Pelodiscus sinensis: one gene and its partner. The protein of the gene in region 1 purifies or fractionates together with the protein of each later gene. This does not show direct contact. Links are inferred from orthologs where the notes say so. Each region holds a gene or a part of one and is shown on either strand. Other genes may lie near its edges.

Evidence for each region. Proteins that work in one complex are often made in the same cells at the same time.
Region 2: the proteins of NOP58 (region 1) and NUFIP1 purify together in Homo sapiens (co-immunoprecipitation; 3 studies listed by BioGRID and IntAct, with this or other methods). This does not show direct contact. The link is inferred for Pelodiscus sinensis from reciprocal best matches to the Homo sapiens genes NOP58 and NUFIP1.

The regions. Positions count from the first base shown.
Region 1 is NC_134717.1:56,310,503-56,318,466, forward strand, and holds the start of NOP58 (nucleolar protein 58), read right to left. Parts: upstream 3,290-7,964; 5' UTR 3,132-3,289; coding exon 3,087-3,131; intron 697-3,086; coding exon 620-696; intron 1-619. UniProt on the Homo sapiens protein: Required for the biogenesis of box C/D snoRNAs such as U3, U8 and U14 snoRNAs. Part of the small subunit (SSU) processome, first precursor of the small eukaryotic ribosomal subunit.
Region 2 is NC_134711.1:286,757,701-286,765,335, forward strand, and holds the start of NUFIP1 (FMR1-interacting protein NUFIP1), read right to left. Parts: upstream 3,654-7,635; 5' UTR 3,480-3,653; coding exon 3,242-3,479; intron 2,586-3,241; coding exon 2,497-2,585; intron 1,927-2,496; coding exon 1,822-1,926; intron 1-1,821. Other genes in the region: GPALPP1 (GPALPP motifs-containing protein 1), read left to right, coding at 3,733-3,817. UniProt on the Homo sapiens protein: Binds RNA.

The DNA of each region.
Region 1 (7,964 bases):
CATCTGCTATATCACCTCCCTGATCCTAACTTCCTCCTCCTTCTGTAATAATCCTCTCTTATCTATACAAAGTTGTACTTAAGCAGCCATTGGGACCCAGGACAATTATCTCCAGGCTTAGATTTTTGACTCTAGTCCAATTCTGATTAATCTGTCTCAGAAAAGGCTATGTTATCTGTAACAGAAGCAAGGTCATAGATAAAGGTACCCTCTCTGAAATTCCTAAATTGAACTTGCATCACCTCCAACAGCAGCTCAAGGCTTATGCTGCAAGGCACAGTGAGACCAACATCTTTTTAAGAACACAGGAATAGCATAACTGGATTAGACCAAAGTCCATTTAGGCTAGTACTCTGGCCCACAGTATCAAGTGTCACACTTCAGAGGAAGGTGTAAGAACCCTGCCATGAACAGATACTCTGCCACAGCTACACACATCCATATTAGGTTTCACTCTGATCTCTAGCACCCAGAGATCTTGGGTCAGATCATTCTTTTAACATGTAAAAGCTGTGAACTATACTGAAACACAAAGCCTTAGTCCTTCATCTCCTATGTACACAATTAAACACAGTTATCTTTCATACCCAGGCTGTTAGCTCTTCATGGAAAGACTTACATTTTATTTGCTTTTTCAGGAGTTTCAAATTCTCTCCACAAAGTATCAACTTCCTGGAGTTTCTTTTCATCCAGAACCTGTGGATAAAAAATGAAACCAATGTTTAAAGACGTTTGGAGCAGGTGTGTGGAGGGGGGGGGAGAAGGGGGGAGGAATGGACACATGTTAAGTAGCTGACCTTCGGAGCTTAGAGACACTAGCAGGAGGGGAGCAGAGGAACTGGTGCTCTGGGATTGCTTCCACATTCACTGTTGGGGAGCAGAGTGAGCCAGGGCCACGCAGCTCTGCTTCCTGCACCACTGTCAGTGAGTGTGGAGGGGCCAGATCAATGTTCCCTGTAAGCTGAGCACATGGCAGCCACCCAGGAGAGAGTCAAATGCAGCCCAGCTGATTAGCAGAGCACTCACAGCCAGCAGCATGTTTCTACTGTTGATGCACATCTGCATATGCCTAGGGGCACATAATATTTATTCTGCAGGTGGACAGAAAAAAGTTAGAGGGAACACTGGATCTAGAGATGGTAGATACATGATTGCTAAAATAAATGTTAACTACAAAAAAAATGTTTTCAGTTACATTAGTGTTTCCCAATCTTTTCCAGATGGGGACCCATTTTGACAATTCAGGAATACTTGGTGACCTAAGGCAATTCAAAAACAGGGAGGAGGGAAGGCAGAGCCACCTGGGGAAGACACCTGGCAACCCTTTTGAAATGTAATGGCGACCCATATTTGGGTCCCGACCCATATGTTGGGAAACCCTGAGTTACATGGTGACTAGCCTTTGTACCAGAGGCAGCAACATAAGCTGGTTTAAAAAATCAACTCCCTGCACAGACCAGCTCCCACCTGCTGCTCAGGACTTACTCTCTTTGCAGTACAATGCATTCAGACCTACACAGCCTTCAGAGTAAATTTTAAAGACACCACCCTTGGCTAACAGACTAATATTTCAGATTGCTATCAACAAAAGAAATCCACCTCTGCCTCCCAAAAGATTAATCCACAGTTTCACTAGTCTACCATATTTCTGTGAGCTCTTAATAAGCAGTGCACTAAGACTTGGTCTACACTACATCCGCCACCTCCTCCCATCCTCAGCCCTTACATATAGTCTGTCAGAAAAGGTTTGCAGTGCAATGAAGTTTGAGAATTCCTGAACCCATCTATGCTTATATAAAAAAAAGTAGGGCCCTACCAAATTCATGACTATGAAGAACATGTCATGGACTGTGAAATCTGCTCTTCTCCCCCATTAAATTTTTATCATATATGGTAAACCGGGAGTGGGGAACCTCCACCGCAGTGGAAACTCTTGTACATTTCGAAGTTGGAACACCGCCACTGGGCTCCTTCTCCCTCCCAGAGCTGGAAGAACAAGAAAGCCAGTCCCTCCAGGATCCCTTGCTCTCCCCCCGCCTTGCTGCCTCTTTCTGATAGAGGCAGTAAGGGAGAGGGGGGAAGTGACCAGTCCTCCGTGTGTCCTCTGATAAGCTTTTGCTTATCAGATAGTTGACTAGTCACTTACATCCCTATAAGATTGTGTGTCCAGTTAAAGTTTCTGGAATGGAATCTTTGCTTTTCAATGTACACCAGTCAAGCTAAGCATTTTACATAAACATTAGCAGACAAATGTAAATTGAACACATCTTGTAAATGAAGTATTTAAAATACCATTACTATTAAGTTAGCCTCAATGCTTTCATTTAGGGACTAAAGGAATAATATTACTTGCAATAAACGCTAAAAGTCCCAGAAGAAACAGATGCAATGTGAACATATTTGGAAGGCAATAATAGAACATTAGTTAGTTGTATAAACGCCACAATTTCTGCTAATAGTTATCACAAGGGGATAATTCTTAACGGATCTGTTTCATTCCAAAACTGGTGGCTAAAATTAACAAATGCAAGACCAGCTTGCTCTTCCCGGATGCAAACAGGAAGTGAGTTGTTGGTACCACAAGAGATCACAGGGAAAAGCTGCAGCTGCAGACACGTGGTCACTGACATTTACAATTACACTTTATCCTGCGGAATGAATCAAAGCTCAGGCTCGGAGAGAAGCCGATCTATGCAGGATCCGCGAGGAAGCGATGTATCCCTGTGCTACACGCTGCACGACTGCCCAGGTCCGGTTTTCTACCCGGCCACTGCCCTAGGCAGCAGGGGCTGACCTTGTCGGATCAAACGCAGAAAAACCTGCCTTGCAAGTAGCCCGGCGAGGGAGACCCCCGGGGGGGCCGAGCAGGCAGCGAGGGCAGAGCCTCCCTTTCCTGCGTTAACCTGCGCCCCAGCCCAGCCACCGCCTCCCACGGACCTCGCGCCTCTACTCGGTACCGGCGCCAGGCCCAGCTGCGACAGACCCGGGGCTCTCGCCTCAGGCACGTGGTCGAGGCCCGGGGCAGCACCCGGCGCTCCTGCTGCAGAAGGCTACGGGCCGCCCCGCGCCCCTGCCGCCTGCCTCACCTTGAAGACGGCGTAGCCCGCCGCGGTCTCGAAAAGCACCAGCATGGCGGGTGAGGGAGGGGGCCCGGGTCAGCGAGAGCGGCCGCAGCGCCAACGGCCCGCGCGCGCGCCAGGCGACGCCACGTGAGGGATCCAGGCCTCGACCGCCCCGCCGCAAGCAAGCAGCGCGCGCACGGCAGCCAACCGGAAGTGAGGAGACAGGAAGCTGGCCTCGGCAGCCCAGGGGGCGGAACTCAGAGGATGACGAGACAGAAAGAGCCGGAGCGGGGGGGAGGGAGAAGAGTGGGATTAGCTCAAAGGATGGCCCGGACCAAGCTGGGAGGAAGGGGGCGGGCTCAACCGCTGCGAGGCGGGGCTACAGCTCCTGACCCCGCCCATTGTGGCTGGCGGCGCAGGGACGGCGGGTCCTGTCTGAGGGTGGCGAGCAGGGAGCGATCCCCCCCGTGTTACTTCCCGCCCGCCGCTGGGCTTGGGCGCGTTCGAGACAGTCCAGAAGAGAGGGACCCACCTGGTTCAAGCTCCAGAAAGCACCGGGGCTGCGGAGAGCGTGTTCATTCTAAAGGGGTTGAGATGGGTTCAACTAGAAGAGGCCCCCGCTTTGTGACGGCCTGAGTTCCGAGCCCCCGCACTTACGGCCTTTTCCATAAGTGCTGAAGGGGCCGAACCCCCCCCCCCGACTTACATCCCTGTCCCCGCATTTACAGTGGAACGATGTCTGTCAGAAATGCAGACTCGAGTTACGACGGCCCCGACTTGCGACGCGAGCTCCAGAACCGATTGCATTGCAAATTAGGGGCAGACCGTTTCTAACTATCGTAAAGAATAAAATTGTCAGACACGTAGATGAACATAATTTGTTGGGGGAAAGCCAACATGGTTTCTGTAAAGGGAAACTATGCCATACTACTCTACTACAGTTCTTTGAGGGGGGTCAACAAACGTGGACAAGGAGGATCCAGTGGATACAGTCTACATAGATTTCTAGAAAGCCTTCGACAAGGTCTCTCACCAAAGGCTCTTAAGTAAAGTAAATAGTCATGGGATAAGAGGGAAGGTCCTTTCTTGGATTGATAACTGGTTAAAAGACAGGAAACAAGGCGTAGGAATAAATGGTAAGTTTTCCGAGTGGAGAGAGGTAACTAGTGGGGTCCCCCAAGGGTCTGTCCTAGGACCCATCCTATTCAACTTATTTATAAATGATCTAGAGAAAGGGATAAACAGTGAGGTGGCAAAATATGCAGATTATACCAAACTTCTCAAGATAGTTAAGACCAAAGCAGATCGTAAAGAGCTTCAAAAAGATCTCACAAAACTAAGTGATTGGGCAACAAAATGGCGAATGAAATTTAATGTGGATAAATGTAAAGTAATGTACATTGGAAAAAATAATCCCAACTGTATATACAGTATGATGGGGACTAATTTGGCTACAACTGCTCAAGAGAAAGATCTTGGAGTCATTGTGGATAGCTCTGAAAACATCCACTCAGGCTATGTCTACACTATAAGGTTTTTGCGCAAAAACTGGCAGAGCATCCACACCTCAAGCACGTTTTTGTGCAAGAAAATTGACAGAACAGAGGGCTTTTGCTGGTAGTTATTCCTCTCCCCATGAGGAATAACTCCTTTTTGCACTACGGCTCTTGCACAAACAGGCAAGTGTGGGTGCTCTAGAGGTGTTTTGATGCAAGAAACCCCTATTGGAAAAAGCACAGGTGTTCTGCTGGCCATTCTGTGAATGGCCATCAAAGCTTTCTTGTGCAAGAGTACCTATGCAGTGTGGATGCTCTCTTGCGCAAAAGCACATCTGGCTTTTAAATGTTTTTACAGAAAATGTAAAGTATTGTGGAGAATTGTGAATCCTTGAAATATTTCAGTTTTGGGCTATACCTTTGTTTATTTTTTGTAATTATTTTTTAAACTTTTAATGAGTTTGTATTACTACAGTGACCCATGGTATTCAACCAACTCCTATGGGTTTATTTAAACTGCCTAATAGAGTTCTACCAACTCCTGGGATTATATAGAAACTGTCCAATGGAGTTCTATAAACATGTCTAAAAACCTAAAGAATAAGCAGTTACTAGACGCAAACAGTAACAAACATTCATAAGCATTTGATCAGAATACTCACAAAAGGATTAGTCCCAGAGATAACCCTGGCTTGTTCCAGCATCAGAAAGAACCTGATAAATATTCCTAACAAATCTGGTTCTTTTATGGTGCAACAAACAAGAGACATCATACTGACCTTTATGAAAACATGCTTATGATACTTCCATTTTTTTTCAAAACAACCCAAAACTTTAAGCATGAAAAAACCTACCACCCCTCAAGATATACATTGATATCTTCAAAGGCTCCCCCACTCTAGAGAGGTTACTGTAACATTAAGGATGATTGTGTATGGTGAATTATTGTTTAATATTGTTAGAAGGCCCTCAGTGCTTTGTTTTTTAATTTAAACAGAAAAAAAGTATTGTAACTAATAAAATAAAATAGCCTAAAGCAGCCCAGTTGTGCAGACAACTTAATTTCTCCACTCCCAACCCCAATCACAGAAGAGGGAGGTTTGGAGAAGGATGCCTAAATTCCTTAAATTATCTATTAATTCAGAGTTGTGATGATTTAGCTAACCTGTTAAATACAGATTTTAAAGTTTGTTTGAAACAAAGAGGATGGTATAAAAAACTCAGGTTTTTGGAGACAATCCTCTTTCAGTAGAAATGATCCTGAATTGAATTGCTGCTGGACTGTGATGTGAGATATGTGGCTTGTATTTAACTCTGAAAATATATAATATTGAGTTTTGGAGAAACACGAGTGTTAAAAATAAAGCAAAACTGGTATATTTTTTACAGCCTGAAATTGATTGTTTTGTTTAAAGCTATGACTTTTTAAATGAAAAAACATCCTAATGAGCATTTTATTTTTAAGCTTATGAGACTATTTCATTGTTTTATAATAACGTTGTCTGCTCCACAGTACAATCAAAACTTGAGAGATCTATAGACCAGAGAATAAACAAGCTCAAAAGAAAAATTCACTAGCAGCAACAATTGATGGTTGGACAAAGTCCAGTAAATATATTTTGTTTATTGGTTTGTTGTTTTATTAGATTTTTATATGTTAAATAGATGCATAGGTATGGGTGAGAAATATGGTAGAATTAAGTTTTGTGAAATTTTTATTTAATGCTAAATCTCTGTTTATTACTAACAAAATAGTGAATGCCATACCATTTTAACAATGTGCTTAAAAGTTTGTTTAAAATTTCTTTTCTCCAATCAATTTGTAATTTTCAGACCTTCTCTGAAAATAGGTTAAAGGCCTTGGATACCTCACCACCCATCTTGTCTTTTATGTCTACAGGCCCAGGCATATTTGGATAGAATGTTTATCGCTGTTAAGATGTACTTAAAACTGCTGTTGTGTTTGGAGAACCAGTACATGTCCATCAAATCTGCTGCCATTGCACATCCACATCTGAAAAAAAAAGATTTTATTTCTTTTAAAATGTATTTGAGCTGGTTTGTGTAATGCGTAAGAGTCCTGATCTGAAAGCCAAGCTGTTACCTGTCTTCTATTCAAATAATTATGCTTTTTGGCTGCTTGAAACAGAGGGTTTACCTCGCTGAAGCTCCTAACTTCTCTGGGGAGTGTAAGAAATTTTCTTTAACAGAATCGTCTACATAGACATGACTGTTAGTGTGTTAGCAAAAGATATTACACGTATGGAGGGGATGCATTCAGACAGATAAATTTAAACAAATGTTATTAATTGCCTGGTTTAACACATCCTTTTATAGCAGCCTGTGAAAATGAACACGATAACCATTAGAGAACCTGAGCTAGTTTATTCGTCCATTTTGTTCTTTTCTGGATTTTCCTCTCAAGATGTGTGTCTCAGACACAAACAAAAACAGCTGATGCATGACAGATTTACTCCCACAGAGCTACCAATGTGTAGGTTCTCAAAGGACTTTAGAAAGGCATCATCGAGCTGTCAAGAGATTTTCAGAAAGGAAGCAGCATGAGCTCCCACGCTAGATTTAAACAGTCATGATTTGGTTCCTAACCCTATTATACTCCATCATCAACCATCATTTCTTCATCAGTCATTTATCTGTGTGACTTTGTTCATTGGGGACACCTTCTTCCATAGGGTTGGATGAGAAGCCATCATGCTCATTGGGCTGTCCCATGAGCACTTGGGTATCGGGGTTGGTCCCAACATATCCAGCAACAGCTGAGCCAAAGGGTTCTCCTCAGAACAGTTCCTCCTTGGAACAGTCACTGATGTAATGCTCAGGGCTAAAACTGTCCAAAGTTCACAAGGGGGTGGTGAAGGAGTCCCTGTTTCCTCAAAGGATTTCCAAGATTTCTGAAACACTCATTCTTGGGATAAGATGGCCTCTTCCATGTGGTGCTGGGGTTTCTGGGAGTGGTGCTGTGCTCTGATTGGTAAGGGGTGGTTGGGGAAGCTCTTAGAGAGGTCACATGACCCTTTTCAGGGTGGGACACCCAACCCCAAAACCTACCCTGTTCAGTCAAATCCACTCTCAGGATGGTCCCTGTGGCCAAAACTCATCACAGTTGGTAGAAACCAGTGGGAGGAGTTTTTAGAGGCTCATTATGACCCACTTCCAAGACAGATCACCAGGCCCCAGAAGGACTCTGGTTTGGTCAAACCTACACTCGGAGTGGTCCTGTGAAGCCAAAACCCATCCTGATTGGTAGAGGGTGCTGGGAAGAGTTATTAGAGGGTTTACATGACACTCTTTGCTTCTGGTCATGTGTCCATCTTGACCCCAAAATTAATTCCCTAGGGAACTGGACCAGTGGGTGGGCAAGGCCTGCAGTTAGATTGATGATAGG
Region 2 (7,635 bases), on another chromosome or scaffold:
ATAATTAATATCTCTAACTTTACATACAAGAATGATACTAGGGATGTTAAAATACATGTATTCAGGTAAACATGTAACCACTGAAATTTTCACTTGGTGGTAGGAGGAGCTGGCTCCCTGCAAGCACTGGCTCCCACCTACCTCTTCTCCCTTTCTTCCCTCCCACTGCTGCTTCTGTATCAGAGGCAGCAGCGGAGGAGGGCACTGCATGTAACCATAAAGGTAAACATGTTCACACTACCATATCCCTAAATAATACACGTACCAAAACAGGGTATACAGAGGCAACAGACTGTAACATTAAAATTGATAGGTTATATGAGGGACTTTGTCTAAAGCATCTTTGAGTTATGCATATTTCTGTTCACAGAGCATGGGGGAAGAGCTTCAAGCTGTACTGCTATCTATAGTTGGTCAAAACAAGGCAAACCCCACCAGCAGTGTCACCCCTGAACACTTCAGTAATTCACACAAAATGTTATTGCTTGTTCATAAATCATGAATAATTTCAACTGCTAAATACCAATTTTACATTTACCATTATGAATCAAAAGACCAACATGATCAGCAACCCAATGCCTGTAAGACAGAACCTATGTATTCAATTAGGGCAGGAATGGGGAACCTCAGGCCCAGTGGCCAGATGCCATCCCTCAGCTTGCCTGGATCTGGCCACCTAAGGCTCAGGACTCCCCCCAACACTGGGGAATCCACACTGGCACTCCAGCCACCCCGCTGCCCCTCCAAGGAGATGGCGCACACAACATTTACTAGCCTGGGTCCCCTAGGCTCTGGTGTGCAAGAGGTATGTGGAGAGTGTCTTCCTCCTCAGTTGGGGGCCACATCAGTGAGGAAATGTCTTTTTTTTCCTTTGCTTCTCACTTGTGTATGGCTCCCGACTGATTTTTCTGTCAATTTTCCCTGAACCAGAAAAGGTTCCCCACCACTGAATTAGGGCCTCAGTTTTATACCTTAATCAAAAAAGCACACGCATAGCAAAACAGTGACTCCTTGCACTATTTGTACAAGTTGAACCTCCCAAATCCAGGACTCTCTGGTCCAGTAACATCCATAGTCCAGCAGGCCACGGATGTTGCTTGCACCGGAGGCGGCAGTGGGAGACAACATGGGAGTTGGGGAGCTCAGGCTGGACCAGAAGCACCCGCACGAGACAGCAGCTGGGGGGCCCCTGACCTAGCCAAGGAATCGCCTCCCCCCCCCATTTCAACAGGGCCAGGTGTGGTTGGGGAGCCCCCGTCCTAGCAGGGGAACCCTCGGCATCAGCTGGGCCAGATGTCTGGGGAATCCTGGCCCCAGCCAAGGAACCGCTGGCTGCAGAGGGGCTGCCAGTGGTGGGAGGCCTGGCCAGAGAGCCTTCAGCAGAAGCAGCACTAGTGGCAGGGAACTCCTAATGGCAGTGTGGCCAGGGTGACCAGCCACCACCAGCCAAGAACACCCCAAATGAAGCAAAGATGGTGGAGGTGGATGGCCTTTCTGGGGAGAGGAGCCTGGGAGCAGGCAGCCAGCAGGGGAGCACTAACCTCATCTGGTCCAACAAACTCCCTGGCTCAGGACAGTTTAGGTCCTAGGGTGCCAAATCAGGGAGGGCCAACCTGCAGTCAGTGAAGGAGATGACTCCAATGAAAGTGCCACCTACCAATGGTTCCTGTAGCAAGTGATTCTCCGTTGGTGATCTCCCACTCAAGTACTGACTGGGCCTAAAACCTGCTTAGATTATGAAATTACAGGCCAAAATTGTGTGGCTACAAATTATTTTAAAAATCTTTTTTATAACAAACACTCCCACCTAATTAAACTAACCTGTGCGTGCTGTGCAACATGTTCGTCATATTTTTCTTTGTTTTTATAGCCACGATCACAAGTATCACAATAATTAGAGAAAACCGGTTCTTTTTTCCTCTTGTTCTGTTAAAAAGAGTGACACTGTTATGCGTATTTCTTTTTTTAAAACAGAAACCAATATGCCAGAACTTGCTTTCATTAAAATATTGAAATGAGTTTATAAAACTGGAGTTTCAATAGTCAAAACACTTGATACATAATCTATTCAGAAAAATGACTAAAAGTAATCAAATGTTTATATTCCATTTCTCAGTTTCCAACTTAAATGTGCTCAAGTTTACATATAATTTTTTTTTACTAAGCATCATCACTGCCAACAACCCAACTGACAAAGCAGACCCATTACCTTTATTTTGCAAGAAATAAAGGTTCTTGTAACGTTAGTACATCCCAATAATAAAATCATGTGCATAGTGTACAATTTAAGTGAGTTAATTAGAGTATCCCTCTATTGAATGGATCCAGAACTTGTACTCATCTCATCATGGAATGGTCTTCATTATAACAATGGGTTAACATATATTACAATACAGGATTATGTTATAAACGTAACTTGTATGGAAGAACTGAGAGTATTGTATTCCGGAAGCACAACTGAAGTACTAGGGCCCACAGAATAGCTGTTACAAGTACCTTTTGCTTGTAGTTTCTACCTGGCGAATATTTAAAAAATGAAGGTGTTTCTTCAGCTTGCCATTCTTCAGTAAAATAGCAATCTCCACCTTTAATAAAAAAAAATGTATAAGAAAAATTAAGTTACATAGAACTGTTAAAACACTTTCTTCCATATTATGTTTGAAAAGCAAGCAGTGCACTTAACTGGAATAATCTTATAAAAATTCTTTTAATGAAAAACAGAAATTCAGAAGCTTTTTTTATCCATCTGATATTCCTTATATCATCTGTGTAATCACAATATTGCCTGGAAATTAACGTGGCCACTTAAAAAACCTTTTAAAATACTGATTTATTATTTTAAAAGGAAGATAAACGTCGATTTTTTTGGTTTCTGTTTTCTAATGACATAATCAACATGGCAAATCCCAAAGAGACACAGCCTCCTTGGAGATATGTTACCATGTCACCAAAATTTTTGACAAATAAAAGGCAAAAACCTGGTCTTAAGTTTCAGGGTTGAGTAGTGTGGGAAGGAGCATGAGAAATCTCGCCCTTCGTTTAGTCCTATGCAAGTAGCAGCCAAAAACTGGGGGCAGCAACAACCACCTACACAGATGCACAAACCAGGGTGCACGTGAGGAGCAAGACTCTAGATGCAGAGGAGGAAAAACCCCACTCTGCCCGCTGGAGAAGGGATATGGGGGGAGGCAGGGATACTGGTGTCCGTTCTGCCCGCACGGAGGTGGAGGGCCTCCCCTACCTGGGTACGGGGCTGTCGGCGGCGGCTCCCCGTACACCGGCGATGGCTGGTACCAGGCGCCAGGCGGCAGATAATCCCCAGGCGGCGGTGCCCAGAAGCTGGGGTCCCAGGCTGCGGGTCCCGGGGGCGGGCAGAACACGGGGGGCCTGAGCATGGGGGGAGGCGGCGGCGGGTACCAGGCGAAGGGGTTCATGTCGGGCCCCGCAAAGACCCCGCCGGTGCTACTCGGGTCACTCATATGGCCCCTGTCAGCAGCCGCCTCCACATGGGAACACAGGAGGCCGCTGCATTACGCGTCACTTCCGGCACCACTGTAAACACCACGCCCCCAAAGGCAGAGTGAGGGAACTTTGCTGCCGGGCATGCCGCCGAGAAACGTCATCATACAGCGCCGGAAGGGTTATGGGGGATTCTCAACCGCCCGTGCAACACGGGGTCGCGACGCAATACGCAAGCGCGCCCATCGCTGGGCCGGCCGAGGGGCTTGTGCCATGGCCCGAGAGCTGATGGGGCCGGCGCTGCCCCCAGGCTTTGCCCGCTATGCCGAGGCGGACCCGGATGAAGACTTCAGCCAGGGTGAGGACGCGTTAGAGAACTAAATGCCCCTCAGGCCCGGGCCCCAGCCCGGAGCTGCCTGCAGGGGACGTGCTGTGTCCGGGTTCCCCGAGGGGGCGCGGCCTGGGACTTCCGCGCAGGCTACGGGAGGCGGGGGCTTCTCAGGGGGAGTCGGTCTCGCCCCAGCTGGGGCTCAGTGCTGCCCCCCCCCCCCGCAGGCCCATGTGCTGCTGCCAGGCTGATCTGCACTGGCCTGTTAGCGAGGGACCCGCCTGGGGGCTCGCTGAGCACTTACCGCCCTGCCAGGGTGTTCAGGCTGCGGTCTGCGTCTAAGATTTCCAAAGGGCTCCGCACCTCCCGTGGACATTTCTAGGGGTCCACACATGTCACTCCCCTTTGTTCAGCGCTGTTGCCCTGCTCCGCCTCAGGCAAGCTTCCTGTTTAACAAGTTAGTTTTCTGTGTGCTGTAAATCAGGGGCATTGTTTCTTTGTGACAGCTGAGGAGCACACTTGCAACTTGCCCGATGCTACAAGGCTGCACTCAGTTTTTATATATTTCCATACATTAGATGAGAGAGAAGCATGTACATCTAGCCCTGATCTACACTGGGACCTTATTCTGAAATAATTCCTCCCCCAACTTCGAATTTATAAGCCGTGCGTCCACACTACCATGCCCGTTACTTTGAAACAACAAGCTGTGGAATTTGAACTCTGCGCTCCTGCTTTTCAAAAGGAGTAATGCTAATCCTGAAATAGTAATTTCAGGACTCTCCAGTGACACTAATTCACACTTATTGGCCTCTGGGATGCCTCCTGCAGCTCCCCAGAGTGCTTTTCGGGGCTCTAAGTCTCAGGTAACGTGATCACGTTAATGGAGCCTGCCTCAGACTAATTTCAATGCCTCCTCGTAGTGAGGATACAGATTTGTTAAATCAAGAGTTCTTAAATCAAATTTAGTAATTTCAAAATAGGTTCCTAGCATAGACATGGCCCTAAGGTTTTTTCATGTAGTTGTGTTGTGGTACCTAAGATATTTTACATACATATGTCTGTTGTGTGATATACTGTTTTCTCTCTTCAGGGGAAGCATTGTTAATGCTACTTACACATTACTTTTGCTGGCCTTACACATTGTCTATATATCAGATCAACATTTACTTGATCATTACCTGAATATTGTCATTTGTGGTAGACAGCAGAGCCTTCATTTATTTTATTCACATAATCAGTACTACTGGAATCAATGGGACAGCTCATGTAACCAGACATGTTTTCTCTATAAAAGGTTTATTATGTTATGTTATATTTCACTTTTTATTAAAATTCAGAATGGATAACAAATTTTAAATGAATTTTTGTTTAAATTGGCTTTTAAAACATATTTAAATTATAATGCTTTCTTTGCAAAAATAAACCTGCTTTAAATGAAATCTGAATTTAATACCAAATTTGTTAGTGTGAACTTACTAGAATACTAGAACTGGAAGGGACCTTGAGAGATCATCCTGTCCAGTCCCTTGCCATCATGGTGGGACCAAGCAGAGTCTATATCATCCCTGATAGATGTCTATCTAACCTGCTCTTAAATATCTCCAGTGATAGAGATTCCACAGCCTCCTAGGCAATTTATTCCAGAGTTTAACCACCCTGATAGGAAGTTTTTCCTAATGTCCAACCTAAACCTCCCTTGCTGCAGTTGAAACCCATTATTTCTTGTCCTATCAGCAAAGGCCAAGGAGAACACTTGTTCTCCCTCCTCCTTGTAACATCCTTTTAGATATTTGAAAACTGCTATCATGTCCCCTCTCAGTCTTCTCTTTTGTAAGCTAAACAAGCACAATTCTTTCAGTCTTCCATCAGAGGTCATGTTTTCTAGACCTTTCATCGTTTTTGTTGCTCTTCTCTGGACGTTCTCCAATTTCTCCACATCTTCCTTGAAATGTGTTGCCTAGAACTGGACACAGTACTCCAATTGAGGCCTAATCAGCGTGGAGTAAAGTGGATGACTTCTTGTGTCTTGCTCACAACACTGCTGTTAATGCATCCCAGAATCATGTTGGCTTTTTTTTTTGCAACCGTGTTACACTGTTGACTTATATTTAGCTTATGATCCACTATGACCCCTAGATCCTTTTTTGCAATATTCCTTCCTATATTAATCTTAAAACACTTAAATAGAAATATGCTGAAATCCACAAGCATCTACCAAAAACTTTTGAGTTAAAGACTGCTTTTCTGTGTAAGGAATAGGGATGTAAGAGTAGTTGATTAGTCGACTACTTAGTCGATTAGTTGACTGCTTGTGAAGCCTGGGCTTATCAGGTAGATGTGTCGACAACTCACATTTCCCCCTCCCCTTCCTGCCTCTATATCAGACAGCAAAGGGCAGAGAAGCAGGAGCTGGTGCTGGGGGAAGCCGGCTTAAAAGCCGGTTCCCTGCAGTACCATCTCCGTGGTGCTGTTCCCCCCTCCCTGTGCTGTTGTCTCTGAGGCAGCCGTGCGGCAAGGGGCCAGGGAGACTGCTGTGGCAAAGCAGCCCCTGTCTGCGGCCAACCGCCAAGGACAGGGGCTGCTTCACCACAGCAGCTTGGGAGTCCCAGCTGGGACTGAGGAAGCCCGGCTCATGCCAAGTCCAGGAGCTACCCCTGCTGTGGCTCTGCAGTTTACATGAAGTAAGAGCTGTGCTGCCTGCGCGCCCGGCTCTTACTACATTTAAACTGCAGAGCCGCGGGGATAGAGCCTTCTCTTTTTAACTAATCATGTAATATCAAATAGTATCAACTTCATGATTACCCAGTTACTTCCCCTCTTTTCCCCTTCCTGCCCCCAACATCCTTAGTATGGAAAGAATTGAAGGGATAACTAATTTCTTAGGCCACATTATTAAATGTTGACCTAACAGGTCATAAACTGTACTATGAGCTTGTATTGTTTAATAAAAACAATTCTATATGCTGTTTTATGTGTTCAGCTAAATTCCAGTTAACATCCTGATACAGCATGAAACAAATCATGAACAAAATGTTCATTATCTAGTAAAGAAAAAAAAGTGACCATACTAGGAATGTTGTCTAACAAATTAAGAATGTACAGTTAATAAGAATCTGAAAATATGAAGCTGCTGTAATTGCTTAAATAAAGTTATCGTGTACCCTCCTAGGTAGCCAAAAAAAGTAGTAAAACTAGAATAAAAGCTGTATTTAGTTGTGTATCAACATGTTTTAACTTATATTAAGCAACGTGAATTTTTTTAAGAAAATAACTGAAGTACAACTGGAAGTTGATTAAAATTGATAATTTAAATCAAGGCTTTCCATTTGGTGATTTAAATCATGATTTAATTGCATGATTTGAACCTCCTTGATTAAAATCAATCCATCCTGTTAAAAATAGTTTTCATGTCTAGGTTGGACCTAGTTTCATTCATTAGCATTAATATTTATTAGTCTCTAAAGTGCCACAGGACTGCTCGTTGTTTTCAACTATGTTAAAATTTGTTTGGGTTTTTTTTTGGTATATGTATAACCGTGAAAATTTTTAGTAGTTAAGTTTACGTGGGTGCGAGGGAACCTCTACGGGAGCCAGTGTATGTGGGGAGCCAGGTTTTAGACCGGCTCCTTGCATGTTCCAGCTTCGGTGGAGCTGCTGCCCTCCAGCCTCCCTGTGCGCTGCTGCCTCTGTATCAGAGGCAACAGTGCAGGGGCGCAGGTGGCGGCTGCTGCCAGAGGGCTACTGCTGTGCAGGCTGGGAACCAACAGCGCAGGACCTAAATCAGCTGGGCTGGAGCAGCTTCCGGATCATGGTTAACTGTTACCTGATAAGCATTACCTTTATGA